Linked DNA regions of Caenorhabditis elegans. The protein of the gene in region 4 purifies or fractionates together with the protein of the main gene of each other region. This does not show direct contact. Each region holds a gene or a part of one and is shown on either strand. Other genes may lie near its edges. The genes, in order: unc-60, fkb-1, ubc-12 and cyn-3.

What was found.
Region 1: the proteins of cyn-3 (region 4) and unc-60 fractionate together in Caenorhabditis elegans (co-fractionation; one large-scale study listed by BioGRID). This does not show direct contact.
Region 2: the proteins of cyn-3 (region 4) and fkb-1 fractionate together in Caenorhabditis elegans (co-fractionation; one large-scale study listed by BioGRID). This does not show direct contact.
Region 3: the proteins of cyn-3 (region 4) and ubc-12 fractionate together in Caenorhabditis elegans (co-fractionation; one large-scale study listed by BioGRID). This does not show direct contact.

What each region holds. Positions count from the first base shown.
Region 1 is NC_003283.11:1,472,816-1,480,304, reverse strand, and holds unc-60 (Actin-depolymerizing factor 2), read right to left. Parts: upstream 5,220-7,489; 5' UTR 5,167-5,219; coding exon 5,164-5,166; intron 4,994-5,163; coding exon of another isoform or gene 4,898-4,993; intron 4,745-4,897; coding exon of another isoform or gene 4,518-4,744; intron 4,465-4,517; coding exon of another isoform or gene 4,365-4,464; intron 4,305-4,364; coding exon of another isoform or gene 4,233-4,304; exon of another isoform or gene 3,521-4,232; intron 3,424-3,520; coding exon 3,337-3,423; intron 2,967-3,336; coding exon 2,854-2,966; intron 2,355-2,853; coding exon 2,268-2,354; intron 1,103-2,267; coding exon 934-1,102; 3' UTR 729-933; downstream 1-728. Other genes in the region: F53E2.2 (Actin-depolymerizing factor 1, isoforms a/b), read right to left, coding at 4,233-4,304, 4,365-4,464, 4,518-4,744, 4,898-4,993, 5,164-5,166. UniProt on the Caenorhabditis elegans protein: Depolymerizes growing actin filaments in muscle cells; required for the assembly of actin filaments into the functional contractile myofilament lattice of muscle.
Region 2 is NC_003282.8:11,034,563-11,037,855, reverse strand, and holds fkb-1 (peptidylprolyl isomerase), read right to left. Parts: upstream 1,275-3,293; 5' UTR 1,271-1,274; coding exon 1,143-1,270; intron 1,098-1,142; coding exon 986-1,097; intron 935-985; coding exon 755-934; 3' UTR 682-754; downstream 1-681.
Region 3 is NC_003279.8:11,909,265-11,912,861, reverse strand, and holds ubc-12 (NEDD8-conjugating enzyme ubc-12), read right to left. Parts: upstream 1,543-3,597; 5' UTR 1,536-1,542; coding exon 1,442-1,535; intron 1,396-1,441; coding exon 947-1,395; 3' UTR 809-946; downstream 1-808. Other genes in the region: mag-1 (Protein mago nashi homolog), read left to right, coding at 186-245, 317-715; rbm-3.2 (RRM domain-containing protein), read left to right, coding at 1,906-1,927, 2,121-2,199, 2,285-2,441; rbm-3.1 (RRM domain-containing protein), read left to right, coding at 2,888-2,912, 3,131-3,209, 3,265-3,412. UniProt on the Caenorhabditis elegans protein: Accepts the ubiquitin-like protein NEDD8 from the uba-3-ula-1 E1 complex and catalyzes its covalent attachment to other proteins. Plays a role in male tail tip morphogenesis.
Region 4 is NC_003283.11:15,187,948-15,191,859, reverse strand, and holds cyn-3 (Peptidyl-prolyl cis-trans isomerase 3), read right to left. Parts: upstream 1,934-3,912; 5' UTR 1,909-1,933; coding exon 1,840-1,908; intron 1,790-1,839; coding exon 1,538-1,789; intron 1,228-1,537; coding exon 1,027-1,227; 3' UTR 934-1,026; downstream 1-933. Other genes in the region: Y75B12B.11 (DUF7808 domain-containing protein), read right to left, coding at 24-147, 202-298, 347-430, 482-551; bath-36 (BTB and MATH domain-containing protein 36), read right to left, coding at 2,315-2,598, 2,648-3,219, 3,280-3,386. UniProt on the Caenorhabditis elegans protein: Catalyzes the cis-trans isomerization of proline imidic peptide bonds in oligopeptides. Plays a role in protein folding, transport and assembly.

The DNA.
Region 1 (7,489 bases), about 14 Mb from region 4:
AGAAAAAATGATGCAGAAAAACCGCATCTGGAGAACATTTATTTGAAAAGGATTCCCATTATTTTTTGCGAAAAAAAACGAATCTAAAAACAACGGGAAACAAATGGAACGCGATGTTTTTTTCCGTTTTCAGAACACTACGAAAACTGATTTTTGAACAAAACTAAGCCAACTCACGGATTTCTGGCTTCCCTAATAAATTGAAATGGAAGAATTTGCCGAACTAGGCCATTTTGGCTCGGCCATATCTGGGGTAGATTTACGGCGCGTTGCGTGTCGCGTCGTGAGAAATTTTACTTCTAAATGCATTTGTCCGTGTGGAGTACACGACTTTCCCCAGGCGTTGTTTGGCTGGCGATTGTCAATGGAGCGCGAAAAATTCAATGAGGAAGGCCAGAACCCCGTGGGCCAACTCTGTTGGATTTCGAAAAAAAATCGATTTTTAAAAATTATCCAAAGAAAAGAATGTTTCGTGCTGTTCGTTTCAAGTTTCGAAACAAACAAACAAAATTCGAAGAAAAGTAGCATAACTTGTGCTCCTGCTTGTGCTCCGAGAGCCGGTGAGCACAAGTCGAGTGGCATCAGGTCAAAAGTAAAGAGATGCTCTCGGGGGGTGTGTTGTGCTCTATAACATCTGAGGGCTCTTGGGGGCTCTGGAAAAAATGGGTAATTGATTTTATTGTTTTTTGTCGTCTGGACGTCATGGAAAACAACAACTGACATGTTCTGAAGGAACGGATTTATTTATTAAAAGAAAAATATTTTTTTAAAAATTCCAGAGAAAATGGGAAATCAGAATTACAGACAAGAAAAGTCATAATTTAACAAGAAAAAAAAAGTTAAAGGCACATTTTTGACGGGCTTGGATGGTCCGAGAGACTAGTAGTACCAGAAAGAAATTGTAATTTGTGATTGGGATTCAATTGGACAGGCTTAGATTCTTTGGTTGGACATCAGGTCGCTCTTCACGCTCTTCTCGTCGAGGTCCGACATCTCGGAGGCCTGTACTTGGAAGAGGGACTCGAGTCCGAGGGACGCCTTGAGAGCACGGACCGAGGAGGCGTAGAGCATACGTCTGCGGACTGGGGCGTTGTCTGGGCAGCTGAAAATAGGAGTTTGGGAAGTGGAATGTGGAAATACATGGAAATTTTTTTAAAGAGATTCTTGTTAATGGCCGACATTTTGGTGGCCGAGTTTTTCTAGTTGATGGCCGAGGTTTCCTAGTTGATGGCCGAGGTTTTCTAGTTGATGACCGAGGTTTTCTAGTTGATGGCCGACATTTTGATGGTCGAGTTTTTCTAGTTGATGGCCGACTTTTTGGTGGCCGAGTTTTCCTAGTTGATAGCCGAGGTTTTTTAGTTGGTGGCCGACTTTTTGGTGGCCGACTTTTTCTAGTTAATGGCCGACTTTTTGATGGCCGAGGTTTTCTAGTTGATGGTCGAGTTTTCTAGTTGATGGCCGTGTTTTCCTAGTTGATGGGCGACTTTTTGGTGGCCGAGGATTTCTAGTTGATGGCCCACTTTTTCTTGTTGATGGCCGATTTTTTGGTGGCCGAGTTTTCCTAGTTGATAGCCGAGTTTTTCTAGTTGCTGGTCGAGTATTTCTAGTTGATGGCCGAGTTTTCCTAGTTGATGGCCGAGTTTCTCTAGTTTATGACCGACTTTTCCTTGTTGATGGCCGACTTTTTGATGGCCCAGGTTTTCTAGTTGATGGCCGAGTTTTCTAGTTGATGGCCGAGGTTTCCTAGTTGATGGCCGGTTTTTTGGTGGCCGAATTTTTCTAGTTTATGGCCGACTTTTTGGTGGCCGAGGCTTCCTAGTTGATGGCCGACTTTTCCAACGAGAATTTCAGTAAATTCGTTCATTTTTATCAACTTTCTTGGTTTTTTGTTTGGACGATTTTCTAGATTTTCCAGACGCGAAATTTTACGCTATCTGGTCTCGACACGACAAATTTTTGTTAAATTCAAACAGGTATGCGCCTTTAAAGAGTACAGTAATTTAAAACATTCGTTGCTGCGAAATTATAGTGTTACCGTTTTTTTAACGCAAAAATGCGGACAATTTCGAGCATTCCGGCTTGATCTACGTAGATCTACAAAAAAAGCCGGAGTAGAGACGCAGAGTTCTCAACTGATTTCTCATGGTTAAGAACGTGCTGACGTCAAATTTTCTTTGGGAAAAAAATCGCGCATTTTTTCTAGATCAAACCGCAATGGGACAGCCTGGCACCACGTGTATGTGTAATATTTCAATGTTGAAACTCACTATTGAACGAAGATGACCTTATTGAGTGTGCTGGTTCCCTCGGCTCCCTGTCTTTGGACAGTAACCTCGACGTCGACGGCAGCATATCTGCAAAAAAGGATGAATTGAATCGAGATTTCCGACGAGTTTTGTTGTTTGATAATTATCCAGACAAGAAATTTTGCGGTTTTTTTGCACCAACTGGTCTCGACACGAAACTTTTTTGTTAAATTCAAAATCATATGTGCCTTTAAAGAGTAATGTAGTTTCAAAATTCCATTGCTGCCAAATTTTCATTAATGTTTCACAGTTTCTTAATATTTATGTGAATTTTTTTCGATAATAAAACATTCCATGGAAACAATAATTTTGAAATTACAGTACTATTTAAAGACGCACACCTTCTTTTCTCTGCATTCATTTAACTAGTAAAAATTAGTCGTGTCGAGACCTAGCACCGTATTTTGGCGCAAAAACACAACTTTTCGCGTAGAATACACGCGACATTTAGGCTCAGACTAAGACTTAGTGTTAGGCTTAGGCTTATTCTTAGGCTTAGGCTTATGCTCAGGTTTAGGCTCAGGCCTAGTCTCAGGCTTAGGCTTACCTGCACTCCTTTCCGTCCTCAACAAGCTTCTTCATCTCCTCAACGAACTCGGCGTACGGAGCATTCTTCTCTCCGACCTTCTCGACGACGATGGCGGTGTCATTTTTGTCAATCTGATTATTTTTTGATTTATTTTTTTTCGATTTATTTATTTTTTAAATTTTTAAAAAATCAAATTTAGAAAATTATTTAATTATTACGGGAACAGAAAACTCTGAAAATGCGTACTGCACAACATATTTGACGCGCAAAATACATCAAATATCTCGTAGCGAAAACTGCAGTAATCCTTTAAATGACTACTGTAGCGCTAGTGTCGATTCACGGAAACCATTTATAAAGAAAATTGCAATAATTGAGCCCGTAAATCGACACAAGAGCTACAGTACTCATTTAAAGAATTACTGTAGTTTTCGCTACGAGATATTTTGCGCGTCAAATGTGTTGTGCAGTACGCATTTTTTTTTTCGCAGAATAACTCACCTTGAAGATGATGTAGCTGTGCTGATGCTTGTTGTGGAGAAGATCGTAGGCGTTCTTGCAGGATGGATCAACTTTGACTCCGGAAGCCTGTACTCAAAGGTGTTTGTAATATTTTTCTGGTTTTTATGTCAATTTTTGTTTCCTTTCAAAATTTTCCACGCGTGTTAAAACAATTGTTAGAAACTCCAAACTTGATTTCATTGTGATAATCTTAAAAAGCACAGCACATGAACGGTTTGGTGGGTGATTCTTCAAGGGGATCGGGCAGGGTGGGAAAAAAGTAAGAAGGGAAATGAATACGCAATAGAAGATTTGAAAAAAAAAGAATGGTGAGGAGATGGAGATTGAGAGTTCCAGTGGGGGAAAGTACACTATATAAATATAGAAAGCTTTACAAGAGAGAGAGAATATAATCGTAAATGAGAAGGGATTTACCACGCATTTCACTAAACAATAAAGATACTGAGAATCTGAGGGGATGTCTCAACTTCTTCATAGTACGGAAGGTTACCCGGCACATTGTATTAAATTAGTGGGCACACACAATCACTTGCCCCCAGGAAAAAAACAATCGTCAATCAGGAAAAAAACAGATAAAAATAGAGGATAAATTAGCAATGTTAAGAGGTGAAAATGTGAAGAAGACGCTTAAGAAACATCATCGAAACACATCGCCGCAGTCATGTTTTCAACGGATGATTCTTTGAGGACACCAAAAAAAATGAACAAGTAGTGAGGTTGGTAAGAAAAAAGCACCACAACAACGCACTAGCACATTCAAAGAGCACACGTGAAAACGATCAGAAATCATCAAGCAATGGAGAAAATGCGACAGACAGAGACGAGAATAATCGAGGATGTGACGGCGACGACGACTTCGGAAGAGACCCGTGTATCTAGTGATCTCCGTATTTCTCGCCCAACTTGTTGAGGAGTTCCTTGTGGCTCATCTCGCTCTCGTCAGACACCTGAAATTTTAATAATTTGATTTTTTTTTTCTAATTGTAAAAATTATCGAGATTTCTCACCTGGAACTGAAGGATTTTGCCGGTTCCGAGAGAAGTCTTGATGGCGGCGGCGGACGAAGCGTACACCATCTTTTTCTTGATAGAAGCACCATCTGGGCAGCTGGAAAAAAAATTAGATGGTACAATAATTCACCAATAGGATCAAGCGCTTACATCTGGAGGAAGATGATCTTGTCCATCTTGCTCGTGCCGGCTCCAACACGACTGCACGTGAACTTGAAGTCGAAAACGGCGTAGCGGCAATCGGTCAGATTATCGGTTCGAGACTTCACGTCCTCGACGAATTTGTCGAAAGCGGCCTTGGAAGAGTCATCATAGTCGTCTCCAGTGATGCCGAGCTGATCCTGAGTCACCGCGGCTTCCACGATCACCTTGTTCTCCTGGAAAATGTTGCAATTTAATAGGGAAATCAATAATGTTCATCTAAAACAATTAATTTGAGGATTTTTCAAATTTTTCAACAAAAAAAACAAAAAGTGGCACGAAATTTTTTTAAATTGATCTGATTCAGATTTTATTTTTTAAAAACTCACGTCGATCTTGAAAATGATGTAGCGGTACTCCTTGCGTCCCTCGGAGAGCTTTTGGAAAGATGTCTGCACATCTGGGTCGACCATGACACCGGAACTCTAGAAAACAGGCACACATAGGTTAGGTTAGGTTAGGCAAAAAGAAGAGAAAACCATTCCATTTTAGTGTGAAATTTTGGAAATTCAATGAAAAAAAAACACGCCAAACATAACATTCCAAATTTCTTTCAATTTAAAAATATTGAAGCGAATTAAAATCTCAAACTCACCATTTTGAGATGTTGTTGTTGGTTTGTGGTGGGGAAATAGAATCAAGTTGAGTTTCCTGCAAGAAAAAATGATTTTAATCAATCAATAATCGAATCACGAGAAGGGAAAAACGATAGTGAAGAAGCTCAACACAAAGAAAAAGTGTAACCCAGATAAGAGTCATAAGGGTCATAAGTGTGAGGTAAATTGGTAAAGTGATGGAAACAGAGAGAGAGAGAGAACAAGAGCCAAGAAAGTCCATTGTGATTGGCACAGAAGCAGGATGAGAAAGACGCAAAAAAAAAGAGACGGGGCCGTCCCTTCGGCCTAACCCCCAGCCCCAACAACACAACCGCCAGTCAGAGTGCTTGCCTGTGCGAGCGCGTCCGCTTAGATAGACGAGGACGAGGGACACGAGGAAAATGAAGAGACGAAGAGATAGAGCGAGATAGTGACAAGTAGAGGAGAGGGAGCGGAGAGAAAATGAAACGGGCAGCAACAGCAGCAGCAGCACCCAGCCCGAATGGTCATCTTTTCCGTCCCCTCCCGGAGAGAGAGAGTGAACGATCTGAAGAGCTGGTAGAGAAGAGAGTGAAGAGAGAAAATAGCGAGAACCGAGCAAACATTCGCCATGTGCAACACACACACCATTGTCCCCCGACCTTACTTGCTCTGCCCGAAATACCAAAAAAAAACAGATACGGACTACCTAGTGGTGAATCCGTTTGCACTTTCTCCCGGGCTTCAGTTTCTAGAAAGTACTGACAAAATTAGAAAAAAGTAGGAATGCACTGCTATTGATCGTATGAATCATCATTCAGCATCGAGGAGTACGTTATATACACTATGGTATCAACTGGGAAGGAGAAAGATTAGAAAACCACCCGTTTTTGTGTTGTACACAACAACGAGGAGGACGACGACGGTGTATGAGTCAGCGCATGGCGGTACGAGAATGACGGAGAGGGTTTGGAACAATTTTTGAATTGTTTCCAGACGTTAAAAATATTGAAAACAACATCGATTTCGGCTTTGAACAAGGGGCAAACGAAAAGGACATACCCGGAGGAGGACACACACACAGTGGAAACAATAGTTGATGAGAGTAATTAGCGAAAGGAACTCGGTGCTACGAGACAGTCGAAGCGTATAATCTCCACTTAGCGTACGCGCAGACAACTACACCGCCCATCTACTACCCCCCCCCCCCCCCCCGACATATTCTCTACTTTCGGGTTATTTCAACATCGGGTGAAAGTTCAGTGAGAAAAAAAACATATCATTTTCCTTGAATTCAAGTCGGAATGAGCATTATTAGCATAGAAGTGTTCAGATGGTTTGCGTGGGCGTAGAGAAAGGGCAAATTGACTGTGAGGGAGCCACCAATTGATCGAGGAACGAACAAAAACGCCAACGACGTGGGAGGAGTCAAAGTCATTAGCAATTGCGAAACAATAAGACACGCTCATTTCAGAAATAAAAAAATGAATTAGTCATCTTGAGAATTATTTTTAGAATCTTTTCTAGTCGCTCAGTATAATAATTTGACAGTGTATTTCAAGACAGTGTTTTTCGTATGCAAAAATATTAAATAGTCCAAGAAAACTCGGACGATTTAATTTAAAAGGGGAGTAGAGTTTGTAGTATTTTGCTTAAATAGACAAAAACTGGTCCAAAATCACCGAATTTCATAATGAGACTTCACAAAAAATTTCCAAAAATTTTTCATGGCCGGCCAAAATTCGAAAAAATGGCCAACTATTGCTAAAATCTGAAATTTCGCACACTTTTCTTTGTCACAGCCGCTGGATTTTAGTTTTTCTGAGATTATCACCCTTTAATCCTTATTTTGGTAATTTATCTCGCGGAAATTCGTTGATTGAGACACTTTTTGAGCCGATGGGCATCCAAAAATGATAAAAATTGTATGCCTATCGGCCTAAAAGTTGTCTCAATCAACGAATTTCCGCGAGATAAATTACCAAATTAAGGATCAAAGGGTGATAATTTCCGAAAAACTAAAATCCAGCGGCTGTGACAAAGAAAAGTTTGAGAAAATTCAGATTTTAGCAAAATTTGGCTCTTTTTTTCGAAATTTTGACCGGCCATAAACATTTTTGGATAATGGACCAGTTTTAGTCGATTTAATTAAAATAGCCACAAACTCTACTTCCCCTTTAAATGGTCTCCCAATAAGCAGCCGAAATATTTGGAAAACTGATGATTAGCTACAAAATTATGAAAAAACGAACGACTGTGAGAATTGTTCAAGGACAGTACGACTGCGTATCTTGTGTTTGAACGATGTGTCACTCACACACTTCTCATGGAGACAGACACATGTAT
Region 2 (3,293 bases), on a different chromosome or scaffold from region 4:
AAGACGGATTATGCAAATATTACTCCCGAAACCACGTTGAATTTTCAGTGCGAAATGTCAGTTTTATTATTCATACTTTTATACATCAAAACTGAAGAAGAAAGCAGTGAGAGAAAGGAAATACAAGGCTCACAAATACTCTCACAGGAGGCTCTCAAGGAATACTCAATTTACTCGTGTGTTGAGAGAAGACAACGAAGAGCAAGAATCGACCTCAATTTATAACTATTGTTAGGATGGAGCATGAACAAAAAAAAAGAGAAAAGAAGCATTCGGATCGTTGGTGCAATAATTCATGGATGCCAGTTTTAATTGGGTTTCTACTAATAGAATTCCAATTTTTTGTTTATTGTTCGACATTTTCAAAAATGCATTTCCTTTTTCGATTCGTGCTTTTTATTTACAGAGGAACCACATACTTGAATTCTAATATTTACGAAACTGTTGATTCCAGATTTTCAGATTAAAATAATCATTCTTAAAAACTAAGAAAGCAAGGCATTACTAGGTAAGAAGAGAAAAAGGTGTATGGAAATTGATAAATGTCTCGCACACCCTATCATTTTCGCTGACAGAGTGCAATACAAGGTGATAAAGAGAAGCGAGACGCGGTTGTGATCAATGGCCGCAGACGGTCCAAATATATAGAATGGGCATGTTTATAAAGACAAAAAAAAAAACTGCAAAAAAAAATTATACTCTGAGAACATGAATAAGTTACAAAAGGCACGTTTTCTAAATATCCGTAGTTCGTTTACAATTCTTCTCCGTCTCTGTCAATCTTCATGAGCTCAACGTCGAACTTGAGGACAGAGTTGCCTGGAATCTTTGGTGGGGCTCCACGTTCTCCGTATCCAAGGTGTGGTGGAATTGTGAGAATACGACGCTCTCCGACGCACATGTTAAGAAGTCCTTGATCCCATCCCTTGATCACCTATAATTTCAATTTTAATTATTGATATTGGTTTTTTCTTTAAAAACTAACATTTCCTTGTCCAAGAGTGAAAGTGAATTCTTCATTGCGAGTGCGGCTGGAATCAAATTCAGTTCCATCGAGAAGGGTTCCGGTGTAGTGCATGTGCAATTGATCACCCTTTCTGTAAATTTAACATTTTTATTTTAATTAAAAAGAGTAAGCTTACCTGGATTTCTGAACGCAGTTCTCGGCACGCTTCTTGACTCCAATTTGCAATTTATCGATTTTCTGCTCATCGGCAGCATATGCGATCGCCAATAGGCACAAAAGTCCAACGATAACAGCGGTTTTCATGATCCTACAACAATACAATTGATTTTTAGAAGCACAATACAACGAAAAATTATTGAAAAAATACGTTATGAATAGAAAAATGGACAGAGAAATCAGTGCAAAAGAGCAATCGAAGGTGTGCAAACAAAAGTCAAGCAAACGTGGCGTTGTGACGCAGAGAAAACGAGTAATGGGTCAGCAAAAGTTGTTGGCGCAACTTTTGTCGGATTTTTAACTCATAGTTCATAGTTTTTGAGTTTTCCCGAGTTTTAAACAGATTTTTACCGTTTTCTTTACAAATTTTACAAAATAATTCAGTTTTTCTATTATAAATAATTAATTTCAGACAAAATGAGTGCCAAATCTCTCGCAAAGGCTGCCTCAAAGCCTCGGCATCAATCCACTCCGTTCCCAAAAACGGAACAGATTGGTTTTCAACTGAAACATTCAAAAATCCAGTAAAAACGAGGAAATTTAGTGCACATGGGATAGATGTGATCATCGCGGGTTCTATACGATTTTAGTTTCTTCTGTGAATCTCCTCTCTACCTAATGAGTCCTGACAGAATACCGGCAGTATTCTGGGGTCTCATTAGGTTTTAGTTTCTTCTGTGAATCTCCACTCTAACTAATGAGTCCTGACAGAATACCGGCAGTATTCTGGGGTCTCAGTAGGTTTTAGTTTCTTCTGTGAATCTCCTCTCTACCTAATGAGTCCTGACAGAATACCGGCAGTATTCTGGGGTCTCATTAGGTTTTAGTTTCTTCTGTGAATCTCCACTCTACCTAATGAGTCCTGACAGAATACCGGCAGTATTCTGGGGTCTCATTAGGTTTTAGTTTCATTTCCAACTCTCCACTAAACCTAATGAGTCCTGACAGAATACCGGCAGTATTCTGGGGTCTCAGTAGGTTTTAGTTTCTTCTGCGAATCTCCTCTCTACCTAATGAGTCCTGACAGAATACCGGCAGTATTCTGGGGTCTCATTAGGTTTTAGTTTCTTCTGTGAGTCTCATCTCTACCTAATGAGTCCTGACAGAATACCGGCAGTATTCTGGGGTCTCATTAGGTTTTAGTTTCATCTGTGAATCTCCACTCTAACTAATGAGTCCTGACAGAATACCGGCAGTATTCTGGGGTCTCATTAGGTTTTAGTTTCTTCTGTGAATCTCCTCTCTACCTAATGAGTCCTGACAGAATACCGGCAGTATTCTGGGGTCTCATTAGGTTTTAGTTTCTTCTGTGAGTCTCCTCTCTACCTAATGAGTCCTGGCAGAATACCGGCAGTATTCTGGGGTCTCATTAGGTTTTAGTTTCTTCTGTGAGTCTCCTCTTTACCTAATGAGTCCTGACAGAATACCGGCAGTATTCTGGGGTCTCATTAGGTTTTAGTTTCTTCTGTGAATCTCCTCTCTACCTAATGAGTCCTGACAGAATACCGGCAGTATTCTGGGGTCTCATTAGGTTTTAGTTTCTTCTGTGAATCTCCACTCTAACTAATGAGTCCTGACAGAATACCGGCAGTATTCTGGGGTCTCAGTAGGTTTTAGTTTCTTCTGTGAATCTCCTCTCTACCTAATGAGTCCTGACAGAATACCGGCAGTATTCTGGGGTCTCATTAGGTTTTAGTTTCATTTCCAACTCTCCACTCTACCTAATGAGTCCTGACAGAATACCGGCAGTATTCTGGGGTCTCAGTAGGTTTTAGTTTCTTCTGTGAATCTCCTCTCTACCTGATGAGTCCTGACAGAATATCGGCAGTATTCTGGGGTCTCATTAGGTTTTAGTTTCTTCTGTGAGTCTCCTCTCTACCTAATGAGTCCTGACAGAATACCGGCAGTATTCTGGGGTCTCATTAGGTTTTAGTTTCTTCTGTGAATCTCCACTCTACCTAATGAGTCCTGACAGAATACCGGCAGTATTCTGGGGTCTCATTAGGTTTTAGTTTCATTTCCAACTCTCCACTAAACCTAATGAGTCCTGACAGAATACCGGCAGTATTCTGGGGTCTCAGTAGGTTTTAGTTTCTTCTGTGAATCTCCT
Region 3 (3,597 bases), on a different chromosome or scaffold from region 4:
ATTTTCTATCGTTTCTTGTCTAAAAACACAGTTTTTATCGAATTTATCACAATATAAACCTATTTATCATCTTTCTTTTGTGAATTTTCACTGAAAAATCAGGTTTTTTTACCTTGAAATTCTAATTTTCACCCGGTTTTATTTAATGGATGTTTGGATTTTCTCAATTCCTATTTATTTTCAGAATGAGCGGCGAAGAAGAGAAGGCAGCGGACTTTTACGTTCGTTACTACGTTGGACACAAGGTAGGTCTTGGAAAATCTTGGAAAAATGACAATTTTCGCCAATTTAAATTAGTTTACGAAACAATTTTCAGGGAAAATTCGGTCACGAATTTCTCGAATTCGAATTCCGTCCAAACGGATCGCTTCGCTACGCGAACAACTCCAACTACAAGAATGACACGATGATCCGCAAAGAGGCGACAGTGTCGGAATCGGTGCTCAGCGAGCTCAAGCGTATCATCGAAGACTCGGAAATCATGCAGGAGGACGATGACAATTGGCCAGAACCAGACAAGATTGGACGCCAGGAGCTGGAAATTCTGTACAAAAACGAGCACATCTCGTTTACGACCGGCAAAATCGGAGCTCTAGCCGATGTGAACAACTCGAAAGATCCGGATGGTCTCCGCTCGTTCTACTATCTCGTTCAGGATCTCAAGTGCCTCGTCTTCTCGCTCATTGGCCTTCACTTCAAGATCAAGCCAATCTAATTTAATTCCTTCAGACTCTGTTCTATTTTATCCACCAAATCTCTTTAACTTGTTTAATTTATTCGATTTTCTCTTCTCTTCTTAAGTTCTCAAATTTCTCAAGAATAAATTTTATTTCTTTCAAAAAGTACAGTTAGAAAAAGTCTGAGAGGTGGGGGAAAAGTTAGAATCAAAATCAATTTCATAGGGGGGGTCAATTCACAGGCCATTTGTAATCCGATCCGTTGGTCCTTAGCAATATCTAGAAATGTATTCCCGAACACGATGATTGAACGATTCGCGATTCTGACTCCACATCTGGGCGGCTTGAATGTTCAGCGCGTCGTTGAAGTCCATAAGATCGTTGAACAGTGAGACGAGTCCGTGGACGACGTCGGTGAGGTTACGCGTTGGACGCCATCCGTATTGATCCAACGAGTTTTGACGCAAAATCGATAGACAAATCGATCCGTCCTCGTTGATATTTGGATGCCAAACCTTTGTCAGGCACTTAACAACGGGCGGCACGTTGTTGTACTCTGGCGGGACGGTGATCTTGAATCGGAATTTGCCTCCACGATAGATTCCTTCTTGAGGTGTCACGGTGAGTTCCAACTCATGAAGACACGATGTTGATGGGACCTCGAGATGCCACAGCTTTTGCTTCTGATCGCGAAGAGCAGTCTCCAGCTGTTGGAGTTCTGAAAATGTTGTAAAATCAAAATTTTTTATAAAGCAGCCACATACCCTGAGCTAGGAGCTTGTCACGGACGGCGATGCGGGTTTCAAGATACCGACCGTCCTCGTTGTTGCCGTTGATTCGTTTTTGAAGATTGAACATTCTGAAAGCGAAAAATTAAGAAATACGATAATTTTCAGCGATATAGGCGGCGCATACGGAAACATAGAGAAAATAATCGTTTTTTTGGCAAAATTACAGTGTAAAAGGGTCAAAAATCGATGAAAATCTTGTAATTCAGCGAAAAAACGACAAATTACGTGAGAAAATGAAACAATTGCTATGAAAAATGACAGAGAATGAGGAATAAAAGACGCAGCGTTTGCTAACGCTGAAATGACTAAAGGGGGCGGAGCGCGAACGCAAGGCTGGCACACTTTTACCGCAAGTGCCGCACGGTTTCCCACGAGTCGGAGGAGGCAAGCGAAAACGATTCGAATCACACATATTTACGCTCCGGCCTAAAATCGTCATGTCTGGATTCTCTGTTTACGGTTAGTTTTGTTAATTGTAAATTATTCAAGTAGAAAACTGGAATATTCAGCTTTAAAAGCAGATTTTAATCGAGAAAAGCCGAATTTAAAGTCTGGCCTAAAATTTTTATTTTTCTCCAGGCGTTTTTCTATTTATTGTATTTGATTAGGCTGAGATAATTTGAGTTTTTAATAATTTTAATGCATTTTTCAGTCGGAAACGCTCCATTCCAAACTACCGAGGACGACCTTGGCAACTACTTCAGCCAGGCTGGAAACGTCAGCAACGTCAGGTAAGCTTCTCTCCCCGAAATCTCCTCTTCCCGAAACCTCCTGAACGACGACCCGTTAACTCTCAATATGAATCTCTATTTTCAGAATCGTTTGCGACCGCGAGACCGGACGTCCACGTGGATTCGCCTTCGTCGAGTTCACCGAGGAGGCCGCTGCCCAGAGAGCCGTCGACCAATTCAACGGAGTCGATTTCAACGGAAGAGCTCTACGCGTCAACTTGGCTCAAAACAGAAACAACTAATTTTCATATCGGTACTTTGTTACTTGTTTGATCTTTAATGATCTCAATAATAATAAACCCATGAAATCGTTATCATAAATATATATGCTCTATTTTTTTATTTCGAATCTTCATTTGGGGTCAATCTGATGGCAAGCGTTGAGGCTAGAAGCTTGAAGGAACGGCTTCGGTTCGAGCAAGTTTTGAATCCTGGGCTATGCGCAGCCCAATGTGAGCTTACAACTGAAAATTCAAGTTTCAACACTCTTCGCGGTCTTATTTTGGACTAATTCCTCATATTTTCAGCTTGAAATGGAAAAAATCTGTCGAAATCGATGCTATTCGAGGGGCGGGGCCAAAACGCAACCCTGGCACGGTTTTTACGCAACTGCCGCACGTTTTCTCCAAGGCAGGGTGAGCGGAAAAATTAAACCGTCATAAATTTTCTGCTACGGCCTAAAATCGTCATGTCTGGAATCTTCTCTGTTTACGGTTAGTTTTTTAATAATTTATTTTAAGTATTAAACAATCGGAAACTGGTTAAAATAGCCAATAAAACTCGATATTGTCCTGAAATTTTGGGATTTTTCGGAAAAATCGAATTCGCGAAGTTTTCCCTAATATTTTCATTTGAAAAGGCAATTTTAAGTGTTTAGATTCAAATTTGGTTGCGAAATATTTAAATCAATTAAAATTTTCCTTTTTTTTAGTTGGAAACGCTCCATTCCAGACCACCGAGGAGGAGCTTGGAAACTTCTTCAGCAGCATCGGACAAATCAACAACGTCAGGTAACTCTCCCAGCCAGCCCGAGCTTCATGATTTCTAACGCAATATCTCTTTCAGAATCGTCTGTGATCGCGAAACCGGACGTCCACGTGGATTCGCCTTCATCGAGTTCGCCGAGGAAGGATCCGCACAGAGAGCCGTCGAGCAGATGAATGGAGCCGAGTTCAATGGAAGACCACTCCGCGTCAACCTCGCCAACAAATAAGTTGATCTTCATATCGGGTTTTTGTTACTTTTTTGCTCTTCACTGATCTCATTATTAATAACAATCCAATGAAACTATCGATTTAATTATTTAATTCAATTTCAACTATTCTCTAACTAATCTGTTCAACATTCGGGGAAGTTTCTCTATTTGTCATCCTTCCATCCGCCGACCTGATTCAACTT
Region 4 (3,912 bases):
AAAATCCAGAAAAATTATTTATTTCAGACCATATACACCGCAAAAGCACAATGAACAGATAAAGTAATATTTGCTTCAGCACATTTTCCACTTCTCCAAATCACATATTTTCCATCGGAAGTCTTTTCAGCATTGTATGTGTAAAACCTTAAATTTATAGAATTTTTGAAACTACTGTAAACATTAATTTAATCGGATCACCTATTGCAATATCGATAATCGGTGGGCCTTTTTGAGATAACACTGTCACGATCAGCTTTATCACATTCTATATCACATGCGATTTTTCCGTTAGAATCTGAATTTTTCTTGCGATTTCAAAAGTTTATTCAAATAAAAAGACGACCTTTCTCACAAACTGCAGGTTTAAATTCTTCGCCGGTTTTTTGAAGAGAGCAGTTGGCGTTTTCACATTTTAAAATCCGATTTTCTGAGAAATTTTTAATGTCAATTCAAAAAAATTTAATCTTTTAAAAATTACCCCATTGATAAAGAGAGTTTATAGTGTTTAGAAAAATTAAAAGCGACAATAAATAGTAGATGCGATTCATTAAAGATTGAATTAAAATCTGAATGGATGTTGCATGTAGATTCAAGTATTAGATAAAGCTGAAATCCGGTTCTGAAACTCTCCGCTTCATTATTCCTCTCTGCTTGCCTACGCACACTTTTATAGGTACACAACGGCGCACTACTATTCGCGACCGAGTGGTTCAGTGGTAAAGCGCGCCGTCTTCAAACAACAGACGCGGGTTCAACTCCTCAGCGGTGATCGATGACTTGTGCAGTGGCCGAGGCGATCGGATTGTGATGTCGCCTGAAAAGGCGGGACCCAACGTCGCGCCTTTCGCCAGAAGATGGAAATATGCGCAACGTCTGAGCTGATTTCTTTTTTTTTTCTCAATGAGACCTGGGTTTCTTCAAAGGAACAATCGGGGATAACTGAGGTTTATGAGAAAAATATGGATTAGTTGAATACTGAAAATATATAATCAAGAGATGAAGGAGATTTCGGGTGCAATTAATTTATGCCTTGAGTTGTCCACAGTCAGCGATCATGCAGTCCTTGACTGGCTTTCCGGATTGGGATCCGTTGGATTCGACAGCCTTCACGACGTCCAATCCTTCGACGACACGTCCGAAAACGACGTGCTTTCCGTCGAGCCACTCGGTCTTGACGGTGCAGAGGAAGAATTGAGATCCGTTGGTGTTTGGTCCAGCATTAGCCTGAAATGTTGAAAATATTACTTTCGAGACAGACAAAAATTCTGATATTTTTTGAGACTGATACATTCAGCTGCTCTTTCTCATAAATCATTCAATTTCTCCTAACAACGGCTCAGCACTCCATCCTACACACAACGTGCTGTGAGATATGTCTGCGTCTCTCACAGATACGACAATTTCCGGAAAAGCAACATTTAGAAATCTTCAGTTTTCCCTCTTTTCGGAGAACAAACAGTGATATTTTTCCCAAATTGAGCAGAAAAAAACATTTTCTCGAACTTCAAACAGATTCAGCTGACGATTTGCTTACCATGGAGAGGACTCCTGGTCCGGTGTGCTTCTCCTTGAAGTTCTCGTCTGGGAACTTCTCTCCGTAGATGGATTCTCCTCCAGTTCCGTTTCCGCGGGTGAAGTCTCCTCCCTGGATCATGAAGTTCGGGATGATGCGATGAAACTTGGATCCCTTGAAGTGGAGTGGCTTTCCAGACTTTCCGATTCCATTTTCTCCGGTGCAGAGAGCGCGGAAATTACCGGCGGTCTTTGGGACAACGTCATCGTAAAGCTGTAAAAAATTTATTTATTGAAGATGAAAATAGCCAAAATTTCACAAACCTCCATGACGATACGTCCGGAAGCCTTACCACCGATGGTGATGTCGAAAAAGACCTTTGAGCGGCTCATTGTTGAGGCAAGAATAGGGAAATTACTGAAAAATCATAAAAATTACATAATTTAAACGAAAATCGATAAAAAATCTGAATAAAAAACAGTGAATTCGCATGAAAATTCAAAAAATGGGACCGAAATGGAGAGCGGCAGAGAAATTTCGATTTGTGGGCGGGGTCAGAATGTTCGCTCCGTTGATAATTTGTGAGACCGCGAAGTTTGAATAAGGTTTTCTTTCATCAGCAGAGCGTGCTTACATTCTTCTTTTTGGTGGTAGTTTAAATTTGAGTTTTTTAACCAATCAAAAATTAACAGTTCTTCGCGGTATTTTTACCTTCTCCTTAACAAAAAATAATCTGCAGTTTTGAAAACTGAAATCAACAACAGAATTTATCAACAACAAATTCAACAAAGCTTGGAGCTAATCTTCCAAAAGATCAATGAGCTTCTGAAGCAACGCATTGTAGGTTATATGATCGAGAGATTTATAATTTTCGTGATGCTTCAACGCAGTAACATCTTCGCTGGTCTCCAATTGCGAAAGGCATGCATTTTGAAGCCTTGAGAGTCTGTAGACTTCGGCGAACTTCAGCTTGTCGATCAAGTGGGTCTTTTGGTCCAAAATCAAAAACGTTTCAGCCTTTTCCAGAACTCTTGGCACCGCGAATCTATCGCTCAGCTTGAGCAAGTGAGACACGTTGGAACCTGAAAATCCGTTAATAATTCCAAGCCTCAAATAAAAAAAAGAACTTACTATTAATGAGCATGTGAGTGGGGTAGATCACATTGAGCAAATCGATAAACTCAGAGTGGGTCACATCATCGATTTTGATCTCAGCCTGTGTCTTTTCGGCGAAATTCGAATAGAACATTTTTTGGAAGAATTGCGAGCTCGTTGCGAGCACTTGCTTGCCAACATGGACATGTTTTCCTTCAAGCACCAGCACAACATCGGTAAGATGTTCCTTGGGTTGATCGAAAGTCTCGATAATCCTCTCATGAATTCCGGCAATCTTGTTGACAGTAATTTGGACTTCAAGAACGGCATGCTTATCGAGCACAAATCGATTATCGTAGCAGATGGCTTCCTCCCAATTTTTAAAATTGTTGACCACCACAATCTTGTTCAAGTCGTCGAACTTTTGCTGAAACTCCATCGAAAACGCGTCATCATCCTCGTTTGAATTGAGTCTCAGAAGTGAAAAACGAATTGACGCATCGCAGGACCACAAGTTGCTGCGCAGTTCCTCGTTGCATTTCAGGTGAATTCCGAGATGTTTAGCATTGTTCGTAGCGTCGGAAGTGCTTGTGAATGCTCCAAGAATCCTTAAAAGATAATATTTTAAATAATTTAGAACATTTTTTGTTTCATTAAAATTCACTAACCATTCTACGTGTCCAATTTGCACTGGTTTGTGCTCCGTCGCCTTCGCCAAGCCAGAAAAATTTTGAATCTCAAAACGAATTGATCCTTTATTGTCTTTTCCAGACATTTTATCTTGTGATAAATTTAATTTGAACAATGAAGAAGAATTTGAAACAAACAATTTAAGCTGAGCAATGCTCTCACCTACAGTACACTAAATGGCTTCGAGACCAGTCAAAATTTATAAAGTTTATTGGTCTATTTCTAGGACTTTCACATTAACCATTTTTAGCACATCACGATGTATTTTGTGCAGATTTTATTTTGTCCTTGTACGAAAAGATTATTTTTTAGCGGATAAGCAAAGCTAATCTTGACGAACCGCTTCGCAGATACCCGTCACATGCAGAGCTTCATATTTAGCTCAATCGATCTCGAAAGCATTCAACAAAATGAAAAACTGTTGGATTAATTTGTGATCTATTTAGCAATTTAAAATGTTCTCAATGTTTCTCAATGTTAAATCATCTCGATATTTCTCCTTCTTTTCGTGAAGACCGTGGTGATGATCGAACTGATATCAATGACCGGTTTTTCAATGTAATCTTTTATTGCCTACAAAAATTGTTATCAATTTCGGCGCCGTTCTGTTG